2 linked regions of the Styela clava genome follow. The protein of the gene in region 2 interacts with the protein of the main gene of each other region in a biochemical or structural test. Links are inferred from orthologs where the notes say so. Each region holds a gene or a part of one and is shown on either strand. Other genes may lie near its edges.

Region 1 (7,215 bases), on a different chromosome or scaffold from region 2:
CTTACTTCTTTTAGCCACCCCATTTATTTTTAAATTCTATACGTTTCAAACATTTCTACTTAGAATTATTTTTTTTCTCTCCTGGTTCTGTATCAGCAGGTATACACTAATAGCAGAATATATTCAGGTGTTTCAATCGTTTGTTATTTGATTTTGCGCAATTCATGCACAATCAGAGCGCGACAGTTGTATATGGGATGAGTGAGACAACATGTGTATCTAATTTAGGATATATGGAGTGTCATTGTTGCATTGTTATCCTATAAAATATTTCTCAATGTATTTTTAAAACTTCAACTTTCATACCAAATAGCAGATTGTATTCTAATTTACATATTTAATTGTGTAGTCATCAACAAAATAAACTATGGCCGCAGATGATGACATGAGAGGCGAGCTCGCCAACATGCAGATGAGGGCGAACCAAATTACTGATGAGTCTCTGGAAAGTACTCGTCGTATGGTTGGTCTGATGGAAGAAACACAAGATGCTGGAATCAGAACCTTAGTTATGCTTGATGAACAAGGAGAACAACTCGATAGGATCGATGAAGGAATGGATCAAATTAATCAAGACATGAAACAAGCGGAAAAAAATTTAGAAGGATTGGAAAAGTGTTGTGGATTATGTGTTTGCCCATGGAATAGAGCTAAAAATTTTGAAAAAGGTGACGAATATAAAAAAGCATTCAGTAAAAATCAAGATAAAGTTGTCAGCGACCAACCCGGGGCCAGGATTCAGGATGAGAGAACGATGGCACAAGTTGGTGGTGGATACGTCAAGAGGGTAACAAACGATGCACGAGAAGATGAGATGGAAGAGAATTTGACACAAGTTGCTGGAGTTATCGGTAATCTGAAGCACATGGCTTTAGATATGGGCAATGAAATCTCATCACAAAACAACCAAATTGATAGAATCAACGCAAAAGCTGATGCAAACAAGGGCAGAATTGATTCCGCTAACCAACGGGCTGCAAAAATACTCAACAACTGAGTATATATTCTTCATTATTATTGATAGGTCAATTCAGATTGTTTAAATAGTATCATATGATCCGGGACTCCCCAGTCAGCTCCTCAGAAGAATAAATATAAATGGAGGAGCTTGCTAAATCTACTTGTGAATAATTATAAAACTAATCAGCATTGTATTTCTGAAGCAGCACTTGAGTGTTTCTGATATTTTTCAAACTGATATTATTAGGCAAAGATTCTACGTTTGACTTGGAAGATTTTAAACAAAGATGATTGAAATTTTTTTATCTGTTCGGTAATTCATAGCAAAATTCTGCTTATTTATTTTAGCTTTTGTCTGTCAAATGTAAAATTCTGACTAAAGTTAAGAAAATGTTACACCTCTTTGAACAGTAATTGATAATCTTTATTCATTTCTTTTTAATTATAGTTGTTCTGTAGCGATTTTTTTCATGAAATCAGTAATATTGAAAAACGATTTCCATTATGCACGTTTAACAGTGCATTAATGTGAGTATTATGGGGTTGTGCAATATTGCATGCTTACATTGACGATGACCTGGTTTGGTTATTGTTGTTGATGAAAATTTTCTAATATCCCAAATCATAACCTATAGTACATTTATGGGTTCAGCCTCTTCTTATATGTTCTTGAGAATGACAAATGTTATGGGTGGTAGTTTGAAATCTAAAATTAGTAGAGCGCAACATTATGCTTGAGTATGAATCCAACCCTTATTATTCCATAGAGACAAAATTCTCACGATAAAAGACAAGAAATAATCTCAAATAGTTTTCTATATTGCCAATCAATAAAACATATTTTGATATTATAAGTCAGATATCATTAATTGGCGTCATTAATATTCAAAATTATAGTATTTTTGAATATGAAAATTCCCAACGTTAATTTGTTATATACAATATGAGTTTGATTGAATTTTTCTTCGAAGCCTTGACAACCCAACTGCATCTTGATATCCAGTTCAATCAAATGTTGCATTATAATATTTTAATTCATATGTTTGATTCTGATTGGAATTCCTTCATGAATATTTTATTAAGGTCAATGCATTATACTCGACACTCTACAGACTATTCATTTGTTTGTAAAATGATTTATTTACGAAATGACATTTTTTGACTTTTCCAATCGATTCGGGTTCATCGTCAAAACAGTCAAAGTATTTTTATCAAAGATTGAAAATTGATTTTTCATGTTGAAACTTTTGTTGCTATGTTAAGTAAGTCTGCAACTATTGGAATGATAATGACATTCTGTGACATTTTTCATCTTCAGACCATCTTTCATTTTGAGAATAAGGTGACTTTCACGTTTACACTGGTGATTGGTTGTTCATTTTCGACATTTTGATTACTCAACTTTTTCATGCCGATATTTGGAATAAAATTAGTTGTAATGATTTGAATTAAAATCATAGTTGAATAAGCACGGAGATCTTTGGTACATTTTGGATTTTTAAAACATTGGAAATGACTATCTTAAACTTGTAAATTTGTGAATTATATTAAGAGTATAAACTATATAGAATTTTTTAAATTTATGAGGTAGTGGTTAACAATTTTCGATAATTTAGTGAAAGCTTTTTAGTGACATGCCATGCAGCGAATTCATGAAAAGATTAAATTAAATAAAATCTAGATATACCATGATTTGGCTGGGATAGAGAAAATTTTAGGACACTATCATCATTTATCTTATTTTACAAATTTGTCTTATTGCTAAGAGTAGAATTATCTTCACATTGGTGGCCACCCAATGTTCAATAAATGTTTTCATACCGCTCTAAGGTTATAAGCTCTCCGTAATTATTTATTACACCAAGTTATGTTTCTAGTAAACTCAAGGACACTCTCTTCATCCAACACCACCATTCAATTAGGTTCATCGATTTCTTATCATTTTGTGTAGGCTGTTTACTTCGTAAGACCTATTATTAATATTTGTGTTCTTTTATGATATGTACAGTATGTATCGATTATTTTTTGATCTAAGTATCTAATGTGTTGTTTAACTTATATATTTTCTGAGATGGATATTGAATGTGAATTGTTGAAAACTTTATAATAATCCTGAATTTTTTTCTGGTATGTCATTATGTCCACGTTCCTTGATATAAACACCTTAAACAAGAATTCTTTTTCCCAAGAATGTGTGGCATGTTTTGAATAAAAAGAAAATTGGTTAATATGTTTTATACCAAAACAGCAAATTTTGGAACACTTTTTTTTAGGTCTTTTTTTATTTTCAATTTATCCAATGATTTTATTTTGTAATATTCTACCTATGTAATAAAATGATTATTTCAGCAATTGTCATGACAATGAATCCTAAATATAGTAAACCTGATAATATACCGCAGTGAGAATTAATCGATGAAATATCTACTTGGCCATCTTGTCGATTATTGAAATCTGCCAAACTTTACAGTGAAGATTTCTCAATTGTATTGATTTAATACTATAAAGTTACACCCTTTGCAAGCACAGTCTTGTCTTGTTATCTGTTTGTTAAAGCATTAATAACTACAATACTCTTGAAGTTCATACTTCTATAGGGACTTGTAACAGCTGTCTACTCATAAATATTTATTATTCGATCTTTACGCCCGCCCAATGTTTGTTTCTTGTAGTATAATATGTTACTCGTCTGCTTCTGCAATGTCACGCCCCATCTGTTGTTTTTAAACACCAAAGTTTATGTTTTCAATGTTATTATTATTATTAAGATTGTTTTCCCCATATAGCGACTGCGTTATTTTCATTCTTTTGTTCAATTTACTGCTATGGTTTTAATCGTTTTCATCTGATATGTATGTATTATATTCATTTGAAATATTTACTGTACTAATGAATAAATTTATATTTAAGACTAGAAAAGTATAGACAGTTTGTCACTTCCACCTCCAGGATTACATATCTCTAATCCATAGTTTCCCATGAATTAAGTATGAGGACAGTGTTAATGGTTGCGGAAAAGCCGTCTCTGGCTCAATCCATAGCGAAGATTTTATCTCATGGTTCATGTAATACGAGGAAAAGCATCAGTGGATCTTGCCCTGTGCATGAATATGATGGTATGACATATTTTTTGATCTATTACTCATTTAGTTTCTAACAAATTGAAATTATGACATGGTTTTAATCTTGTATGAACTGGTAACGAGTCGACATAATTACTATAGTACTTATTTTTATTTTCTTGTTAAATAATGTCTTCTCTAAATTGGGTTCATATATTTTCCTTATACCTTTTTTAACATGATGTCAATTTTTTTTTTTATAATCCTCATCGCCGCCCAATTCTCTGCTCAACAGTCTTTTAGACACAGTTAGTAATTAGGTGACTTTTACTATTTTTTAAAAAGAATTCTGAAAACATTATAAAGTACTAATTTCAAATGGGGAATATTGAATCAACTTCAAATGAGACCATATTCTTTAGAAGTTTATAGGCCTATATGAGTTTGAATTTTAAAATACTGGAATTTTGAAATAAACATTGATGCCCTGTACGTGAATATGAGGGTATGACGTAATTTTGCTTTATTACTCATCTAGTTTCTAACAAATTGAAATTGTGACATGGTTTTAATCTTGATGAACTGTAAATGAGTCAAAATAGGTACTGTAGCATTTAATTTTGTATTCTTATTAAATAATATATCCTTTAAATAAGACTTATGTAGTTTTCTTCCAATGAATGTACTGACACTATGGCAATTGTTTTCTTTTTATAAACCATATCTTCATCGCTCTGAACAATGCTTTGCCCTTTAGCCTTTTAGACACAATGAGTAATTGAGTTGGTCTGATGAATCCTACCGTTTTTTTTTAATTGACTTAGTTGAGTTTCATACATATTATCTACTATGCCCACAACGAGTGATGGCTAAAATCTTTTAATTCTATCTTCTGAATACAATCTAAAATAATTTTTTTTTATCGACGTTTTGTAGATTAGATTCGATTTTCTGGATGAGTCTATGTATATTCAATGAGTTTCAATGATAATTCGACTAAAAAAGGGCCTTCCGGAAGGCCCTATTTTGGGTCATTTTTGCAAAAAATTCTCACTGCACATATAGTTGAAAAACTTTTTAGCTTTTCAGCTTTGAATAGTTCATTAATAAAGGTTATTTACAGACACGTGCCTACCGGAAGGCCCTTTGTCGAATTATCATTTAAATAAAAATACTTGATTTCGAAATAAACAACTGTTTTAGTATTTTTTATAATCAAAATTTTACTCTGAACAAAACTCATACCTGTTATTTAAAATATCAAATATAATAAAATTTGAATCAATTCTACTATTATATCATCTTGGATATCTAACTGCCAGTTATTTCAACTAAGTAGTTTATGGATTAATGTAAAGGCATTGACTGTATTAAATTTTTTCAGATAAATTTTATGGCGAAAGAGTCAGCTTCAAAGTCACGTCTGTGTGTGGCCATGTCATGTCATTGGATTTTGAAGGAAAATATAATAACTGGGAAAAAGTTGATCCTGGGGAATTATTTTCTGCTCCAACTATGAAAAAAGAAGCAAATCCCAAATTAAATATTATCAAGTATGAATAATTTTATGAATCATTTTAGCCAAAAATGGAATTTTAATATACTAAAATAGTTTATAAATAATAAATGGGAAAATTTTATCGCAACGGACTCGCCATAGTTTGCTTTGAGAATTCTATTCTGGTTAATAATGGAAGTGTCTCATGTTTGACGAGTCACGACAGATTTTGCTCTAGACAAGGCTTCATACAAGAATGATGATATTATTCAATTTTTAACCAATCTCTGTTATTCTCATTATTTGGCTGACCAACCAGCTGTATGATCTATAACAGGGTGTGCAACAGGCGGGCCGCGATCCACAACCCGACCCACCAAGCCATTTAGTGCGCCCCTTGTCACTCCAATTTCATTCCATAAAACATAAAATCCCAATTCGACAGTTCATGCTTATTGGAAATGGGTAAAAATACATAATTTTTTTTACTCTCGTCACCGTGTTAAATTTTGCATTGGGATAATTTTTCAATTTGTTGTGTGCATGGAAAAACTATTTTCATTTGTGTGTCCAAACTAGATGTCTTGGTCTTATGGCTCACCGACAAAAAATGTTGCACACTTCCGATCTATTTATAACTTGTGATGCTTATTGTTACTGATAGTGATTAAATTATTGATCGTACTTTTAAAATAGGATTTTGTAAGTATGGTATGTCCTTATTTGAATAATTTAGAATTATATAATTCTGTTCTGCAGTGATCTTTGCTGTCGAGCATTATATAAAGTAGGTCTATTTTGCTTTGAAAAAATGCAGCATCGGAGGGGGGGAACATATTAACATCTTAAGAAAAACAATTGTCACATGGAATTATGCTATCAGTTGTGGTTACGCCAGAGAACTGCCAATCCTTCCTCCATGCCATTGAACTGGCGTTTAACAATGTAATGGAACTTCGACTCAACCCTCAAAATTATCCCCTGGTATATATGAATCATCTAAGAGATATTATAATTATTAATAGGTAATAAAAATCTTATGTCTAAAATCACAAGTTCATTCTTTCTAAAGTGTCCCATTAAATCTTTAATTTTAAATATCGTAACTAATTTAGGTTTCTGGAAAAAGAAGCACGAGGCGTAGATGCGATTGTGCTATGGTTAGATTGTGATAAGGAAGGAGAAAATATCTGCTTTGAAGTTTTAGACATTGTGGAACCAATCATGAATAAAAGTGTGAGGCTTATATATTTTTTTCATTCATTTATGCTTCATATTATTTGGTAAGATTTATGTAAATAGTGTCCATGCCGCCTTAATTTTTTTTAAATTGCAAAGGGAGTTTATAGATACCACATTCCACATATTGTTTTGGCCCTCACAGATGTATTAATGGAGTAAAAATACTTGAACAATTACTGATTAAAAACATCAAACCTAGTTAAGTTATATTGAGAATTGACTTCATAACAAAATCAAACTTGGTTAATAGACTTTATGGAACCCCTTTATGTTAGAATAGGTAGAATGTAAAGCTGAATAATTATAGTTAGGTGGGAAAATACAAAAAATAATGCCTTGAAATAAACCTTTGAATATATTTTTTGTTGAATCTTTTTAATGGAAAAGAGAAAAATAGGGAAAAAAGTAATTATACTGGGGCTAATTTTAGGCAAATTCTCTTGAGAAAACAAT
Region 2 (7,542 bases):
GAATACCCCAGATTCTAAAATAAAAAAGGCTTAGGTTCTAGTTGTGTGGCAAACTTCAGGTAAACTTCTTTAACATAAAATAATCAAATCGAATGCCTCTTGTACGGAAGGGTGTGCTGCTAGGCTTTGAAAATTGACTAAATTAGCTTTTTTCGCTATACGTAATTTTTCCAATTAAGGCCATTTTCGCCATAAGAATAACGTAGATTATAAATTAAAAAAGGCTTAGGTTCTAGTTGTAGAAAAAACTTCAGGTAAACCTCTTTAACATAAAAGAATCAAATCGAATGCCTCTTGTGCGGAAGGGTGTGCTGCTAGGCTTTGAAAATTGACTAAATAAGCTCATTTCGCTATATGTAATTTTTCCAAATAAGGCCATTTTCGCTATGAGAATACCCCAGATTCTAAAATAAAAAAGGCTTAGGTTCTAGTTGTGTGGCAAACTTCAGGTAAACCTCTTTAACATGAAATAATCAAATCGAATGCCTCTTGTGCGGAAGGGTGTGCTGCTAGGCTTTGAAAATTGACTAAATTAGCTTTTTTCGCTATACGTAATTTTTCAAAATAAGGCCATTTTCGCCATAAGAATAACGTAGATTCTAAAATAAAAAAGGCTTAGGTTCTAGTTGTGTGAAAAACTTCAGATAAACCTCTTTAACATGAAATAATCAAATCGAATGCCTCTTGTGCGGAAGAGTGTGCTGCTAGGCTTTGAAAATGGACTACATTAGCTTTTTTCGCTATACCTAATTTTTCCAAATAAGGCCATTTTCGCTATGAGAATACCCCAGATTCTAAAATAAAAAAGGCTTAGGTTCTAGTTGTGTAAAAAACTTCTGGTAATCTTCTTTAATGGGAAATAATCAAAAAATCGAATGCCTCTTGTGGGGAAGGGTGTGCAGCTGGGCTTTGAAAATTGACTAAATTAGCTTATTTCGCTATATGTAATTTTTCCAAATAAGGCCATTTTCGCCATGAGAAAAACGTAGATTCTAAAATAAAAAAGGCTTAGGTTCTAGTTGTGTGGAAAACTTCAGGTGAACCTCTTTAATGGGAAATAATCAAACGAATGCCTCTCGTGCGGAAGGGTGTGCTGCTAGGCTTTTAAAAATGACTAAATAAGCTTATTTCGCTATATGTAATTTTTCCAAATAAGGCCATTTTCGCTATGAGAATACCCCAGATTCTAAAATAAAAAAGGCTTAGGTTCTAGTTGTGTGGCAAACTTCAGGTAAACCTCTTTAACATGAAATAATCAAATCGAATGCCTCTTGTGCGGAAGGGTGTGCTGCTAGGCTTTCAAAATTGACTAAATTAGCTTTTTTCGCTATGCGTAATTTTTCTAATTAGGGCCATTTTCGCCATGAGAAAAACGTAGATTCTAAAATAAAAAAGGCTTAGGTTCTAGTTGTGTGGAAAACTTCAGGTGAACCTCTTTAATGGGAAATAATCAAATCGAATGCCTCTCGTGCGGAAGGGTGTGCTGCTAGGCTTTTAAAATTGACTAAATAAGCTTTTTTCGCTATAAGTAATTTTTCCAATTAAGGCCATTTTCGCCATGAGAATAACGTAGATTCAAAAATAAAAAAGGCTTAGGTTCTAGTTGTGTAAAAAACTTCAAGTAAACCTCTTTAACATGAAATAATCAAATCAAATGCCTCTTGTGCGGAAAGGTGTGCTGCTAGGCTTTGAAAATTGACTAAATTAGCTTTTTACGCTATACCTAATTTTTCCAATTAAGGCCATTTTCGCCATGAGAAAAACGTAGATTTCAAACTAAAAAAGGCTTAGGTTCTAGTTGTGCAAAAAATTTCAGGTAAACCTCTTTAACATAAAATAATCAAATCAAATGCCTCTTGTGCTGAAGGGTGTGCTGCTAGGCTTTGAAATTTGACTAAATTAGCTTTTTTCGCTCTACGTAATTTTTCCAAAAAAGGCCATTTTCGCTATGAGAATACCCCAGATTCTAAAATAAAAAAGGCTTAGGTTCTAGTTGTGTGGAAAACTTCAGGTAAACTTCTTCAACATAAAAGAATCAAATCGAATGCCTCTTGTGCGGAAGGGTGTGCTTCTAGGCTTTGAAAATTGACTAAATTAGCTTTTTTCGCTATACGTAATTTTCCAAATAAGGTCATTTTCGCTATGAGAATACCCCAGATTCTAAAATAAAAAAGGCTTAGGTTCTAGTTGTGTGGCAAACTTCAGGTAAACTTCTTTAACATAAAATAATCAAATCGAATGCCTCTTGTACGGAAGGGTGTGCTGCTAGGCTTTGAAAATTGACTAAATTAGCTTTTTTCGCTATACGTAATTTTTCCAATTAAGGCCATTTTCGCCATAAGAATAACGTAGATTATAAATTAAAAAAGGCTTAGGTTCTAGTTGTAGAAAAAACTTCAGATAAACCTCTTTAACATAAAAGAATCAAATCGAATGCCTCTTGTGCGGAAGGGTGTGCTGCTAGGCTTTGAAAATTGACTAAATAAGCTCATTTCGCTATATGTAATTTTTCCAAATAAGGCCATTTTCGCTATGAGAATACCCCAGATTCTAAAATAAAAAAGGCTTAGGTTCTAGTTGTGTGGCAAACTTCAGGTAAACCTCTTTAACATGAAATAATCAAATCGAATGCCTCTTGTGCGGAAGGGTGTGCTGCTAGGCTTTGAAAATTGACTAAATTAGCTTTTTTCGCTATACGTAATTTTTCAAAATAAGGCCATTTTCGCCATAAGAATAACGTAGATTCTAAAATAAAAAAGGCTTAGGTTCTAGTTGTGTGAAAAACTTCAGATAAACCTCTTTAACGTGAAATAATCAAATCGAATGCCTCTTGTGCGGAAGAGTGTGCTGCTAGGCTTTGAAAATGGACTACATTAGCTTTTTTCGCTATACCTAATTTTTCCAAATAAGGCCATTTTCGCTATGAGAATACCCCAGATTCTAAAATAAAAAAGGCTTAGGTTCTAGTTGTGTAAAAAACTTCTGGTAATCTTCTTTAATTGGAAATAATCAAATCGAATGCCTCTTGTGGGGAAGGGTGTGCAGCTGGGCTTTGAAAATTGACTAAATTATCTTTTGTCGATATACGTAATTTTTTATAAACAAGGCCATATTCGCTATGAGAATACCCTTGAATTTAAAATGAAAAAGGCTTAGGTTCTAGTTGAGTGAAAAACTTTTATTATTTATTTTTTGGTTATATACTTGTTATTTTTTCTAAATTATAAACATATTTCCCATAATAGTATGCTAATTTTGTTTATCTTCATTTTTTCGGGTGTAGATTCTGACACGCCTCTATTTCTGCCGTAAATATTAACCTTTCCGCTTCGCCGCACACAAAGGTCAAATTGCTACTAGCTTCACAGTGGTCATAATTGCTGTGCCATAAAGTGAACCGTTAAGATTGGGATTAATTATGAATTAATTGGAAAAACCCTACTGACCTATCAGCAACGTTTAGGGAATTAGGGCACGTGACATACCGTACTGTCGGACTGTTATGATCGTCAATACTGCAATAAGACTTCCCTGTTTAGGCTGTTTATAGCTTTTTTGACATGTTACAGCAGTACAGCCAAATAAGTAATTGACCACCTTTCAAGTTGAACGAACCAGTGGTACCAACGGCTGGTCCACATACTGCAGTACTGCCATACTAGATTTCTGCTGGTCTGGGATGAATATCTTACATGGATATGCTTATTGTTATTCAGCCACCAGTCACCTTTAGTGACCGAATATACAAAATAAGGTCTGAAGGTTGGCGGGTGATTGAGATTTTGACATGCAGACATGTATGATATTGATTGCCCTGCGATGTCTTGGCGGTGTTATTACACTTTCAGATTTCCATTCGTTGCAAAATATATAAGCTGTGGTAATTCTCGCGAGTTTCTAAAATATACACATTATGACATATACCAGTATACGTTTTTATCCCTCTCGCATTCATATGGAAGTGAACAATTTTAGTATTGCAATGTGATCATATTTCTGTATTTAATCTAATAATCTCCAAACAAAAAGAAAAAATATGGGACGGACGTGTTGTATTTCATACATAATTTTAATCGCTTTACGCAGTCAAAAACAAAACGACAACAAATAAAAAAGTTTGGGAATCACTGGTTTACAGTATTGTATAAACAAGTAAACTGATCAATACAACTTCAGGAAAACCTTTTGCAATTTTATATTAAATGATTAGATTATGGAAGTATAGTAAAATTTTAAAAACGTCAACATGGTATAAATGTGATGTACTCTAATACTCATTGCCAGATTGCGGTGGTGGTGTATATGTCCAGATACCTGTATGTCAAAAAACTCAATGATACATTCCTTTTTCAGACTTTTTAGCTTTAGTCAACTTGAAGATTGTGTCTCATCTTTTTCAATGGAAAGTATTGGAAAGATTCTTGAAGACGAAGGTTGGCATTTGAAGGAATCTGCCTTGAATGACCTTCAGAAAAATTTATCAGATAAAGAAGAACTGACATACGGGAAAATAAAAAAATTGGCACTCGATACTGATCTATCTAATATCGGATACAAATATATACAAGAAAAGATTTCTTCTTGTACAGACAATTTATTAGTTGGACCAGTAGTATTGCAGGTTAGCAAAATCAGAAATATCACTGCTCCTAAAGAAAATGAATATTCTAATATTGCTCCTCGTATGCTGAGGGTAACTTTAACCGACGGAGTCTCCACAATCACAGGTATAGAATATGAACATATTGAACAAATTTCTCTCAAGACTGCACCAGGAACCAAAATCAGACTCATTGGAAGTATCGCCGTTACTCATGGCCAATTACAATTAGAGCCTGGCAGTGTAAAAATTTTAGGTGGCAGAGTTGAAAAGCTCTATACAAGATGGAAAATAGCCCTCGATGCTGCAGGGCTCAGTAGGGCGGGAATTGTTGCAGAGGGGGCACCACCTCCTTTTGTAGCGTTTGGAAAAAATATTCAGAAATATAACAAAAGTAATAAATCTTTAAAAGGAGATGCAAAGCATGACGAAGCTGAAGATGATGAATTCAATGAACAACGTAAAGCTGCCATTGCAGAAGTAGCCAAAGCATCTGTTCAGGTTTCGAAAACTTTTTCATCTGATGTAAGAGCAAACTTCGGCAAAAGGCCGACATCGGCCCCGAGTTATGAAGATAACAAATCCTCATCTGATCCAGTTCATAAAGATAGCAGACCGAAGTTTAGCAAGCAACCTTCATCAAATGAAGAGAAAACCAATTCACAAAATAAAAGCGCTAGAATTTATCGAGAGTTGTCAACTCAGAGTGGTGAAAACGTACACTTGAAAACAGTGAACGAATTTGTAGAAATGGGATTCAAGAGAGATGATGTCGTTTTCTTCATGCAAAAATGCGATAACGACTTTGAAAGCACTATGGAGATGTTAGTCGTAAATGCTAATGCAGAAGATTCTCAGAAAGAACGACAAAGAGGACATAGAGGACGGGGTGATAACAGAGGATTTCGTAGGGGTAACCGTGGAAGAGGAAGTGGCCGCTCATTTCATGGAGAAGAGGAAAATGAGCATCCAATGTCACAACCCTCCAATTCAGCAACATTGTTTGATTTTGTAGAATCTAAAATATCTGTTCCAGAACCGAGTAAGAAACAAAATGGAAACGATTATTACAAAAAATCCTATCAAAATGAAGCCTCAAACCAACGTAATGATAACAAAAATTGGTACCAAGAGTCAAACAGAGGCTATAATTCAAGATCACGTGGCGGAAACCGAAGGTTCAATGAGCGGGGGCGTGGCAGAGGCGGTGGTCGAATGGAGAGGAGGGAAGATAGAAGAGAAAATGATTCATATAAAAGCAGAGGGTATAATAAATGGGAGAGTCAATCAGATAATCCTCAAAAATTTAAAACTTATGATAAAAGATTGAATGATTCGAAAACTGATGAACCATATGGAAAGGGAAGAAGTGGAAAGATTGGACGAGAGAGCGATATTACCCCGAAAATTGATTCACAAATGACTGAAAAAGATAGTCGAAATGAACGAATGGAGAGTGGAAAACGATACAGCTCTACACGTGCTTCTGAAAATCCCAGACGATCTCAAGATACTAGAAATGAAGGAAATACACAATCTCGAGAATCTGATAAAAATCGTACCTCAGGACATCAGAATCAACACAGAGTTAACGAAAGGCATGCATCAGACATTCCGCCTCGTTTTAAAAAAGGCAACAGTTTTGTTAAAAATGAGAATATCAAGCATACAGCTATACCCCACTTTCCACAAAATACAATGAAAGGGGAGAGCAATTCCAAACTTTCTGGAGAAGCCAGCGAATTTAACATAAACCAAAACTTTAGAGATTTATCAATAAATCCTCCACCATCTCAAAGGGGCCCAACCACTTTCGGTACGGCAGCGCCTAATACTGATACTTCAATTCATATCAACATTAATCAATCGACTCCCTCACATGACGTTATTGTGAAGTCTCATTCAAATGGCCCCCAGGTTCATGTTTCTCTTCCCAAGTTCTATGTTGGAAGCCACTGTTTAGCAAGGTATTGGGAAGATCGGTGCTATTATAGAGCAATCATCACTGATTTACATCCAACTGCTCCAACCGCTGTTGTTCAATTCCTAGGTTTTGGAAATTATGAAGAAGTACAATTATTCGATATGAAGCCTTTCGATGATGATAAAACATCATTTCATGGAGGTGAGTGAAAATTTATTCCTTTGTTTATTTAATATTCATAATATACACAGGCGCTTCAGAAATGTATATGTACGTAACTATTTTGCTTGCCTACTTTACATCAAGTAGTGTAAAGGGATTGAAACCTATGGTCAGGAGGGTGTATATTCACTTGGCTAACACAGACAGTCCTGAACTCCTAATAGAACCAAAATAAGGAAAGTCGGAATAAAATTATGGCTTAACCCTATCCTGGTACACATACTAAGGGGGTAAGCTACCTATACGCCAGGTGCCATTATCATTTTTACTGCAATTTTGGCATACACAAGTATATGAAATTGATGTTAAAGTTATTAAACTAAAATATTTAGTTTGACTGTACGAGTGATTTTTCTTAAATATAAATATTTTATTAGAATGACAACAGTTTGTGTATAGCATGATGGCTAGATAGATTGCTATTATGGAGAAAAAAATAACAAAATTTTCAGCCAAACGGCTATTGAGATAGGATTACTAGCTTCGGAACTCTCAATGTTTGAGTTTAAAACAAAAGAGGTTCCAGCTCGTTCTTCTATATAAAATTTTTCTAATAGGCAGCAATCGCATTAAAATGGTTTACATTTTTTGTGTATTATCAAGTCTTCTATTGCGAGTGCAGAATATTTCCTAACGGCCACTAGTTTGAGCGAGAAACCTTAGCAATCCTTTCATTATCAATTTGCCCTTTTTAGTGGCTCATTTTTAACATTATCAATTTCCCCTTTTCAGCAACTCAATTCTCACACAACAGAGACAATGGGCAGAATTTACCTTATATGGGGAACCCACAGAG

The links. The genes of interacting proteins can lie anywhere in the genome.
Region 1: the proteins of tudor domain-containing protein 3-like (region 2) and DNA topoisomerase 3-beta-1-like form a complex in vitro, tested with the Homo sapiens proteins (2 studies listed by BioGRID and IntAct, with this or other methods). The link is inferred for Styela clava from reciprocal best matches to the Homo sapiens genes TDRD3 and TOP3B.

Annotation. Positions count from the first base shown.
Region 1 is NC_135257.1:17,699,160-17,706,374, reverse strand, and holds the start of DNA topoisomerase 3-beta-1-like, read left to right. Parts: upstream 1-3,923; 5' UTR 3,924-3,949; coding exon 3,950-4,076; intron 4,077-5,406; coding exon 5,407-5,575; intron 5,576-6,635; coding exon 6,636-6,756; intron 6,757-7,215. Other genes in the region: synaptosomal-associated protein 25-like, read left to right, coding at 368-997. UniProt on the Homo sapiens protein: Releases the supercoiling and torsional tension of DNA introduced during the DNA replication and transcription by transiently cleaving and rejoining one strand of the DNA duplex.
Region 2 is NC_135255.1:10,328,749-10,336,290, reverse strand, and holds the start of tudor domain-containing protein 3-like, read left to right. Parts: upstream 1-4,309; 5' UTR 4,310-4,318; coding exon 4,319-6,725; intron 6,726-7,478; coding exon 7,479-7,542. UniProt on the Homo sapiens protein: Scaffolding protein that specifically recognizes and binds dimethylarginine-containing proteins. Plays a role in the regulation of translation of target mRNAs by binding Arg/Gly-rich motifs (GAR) in dimethylarginine-containing proteins.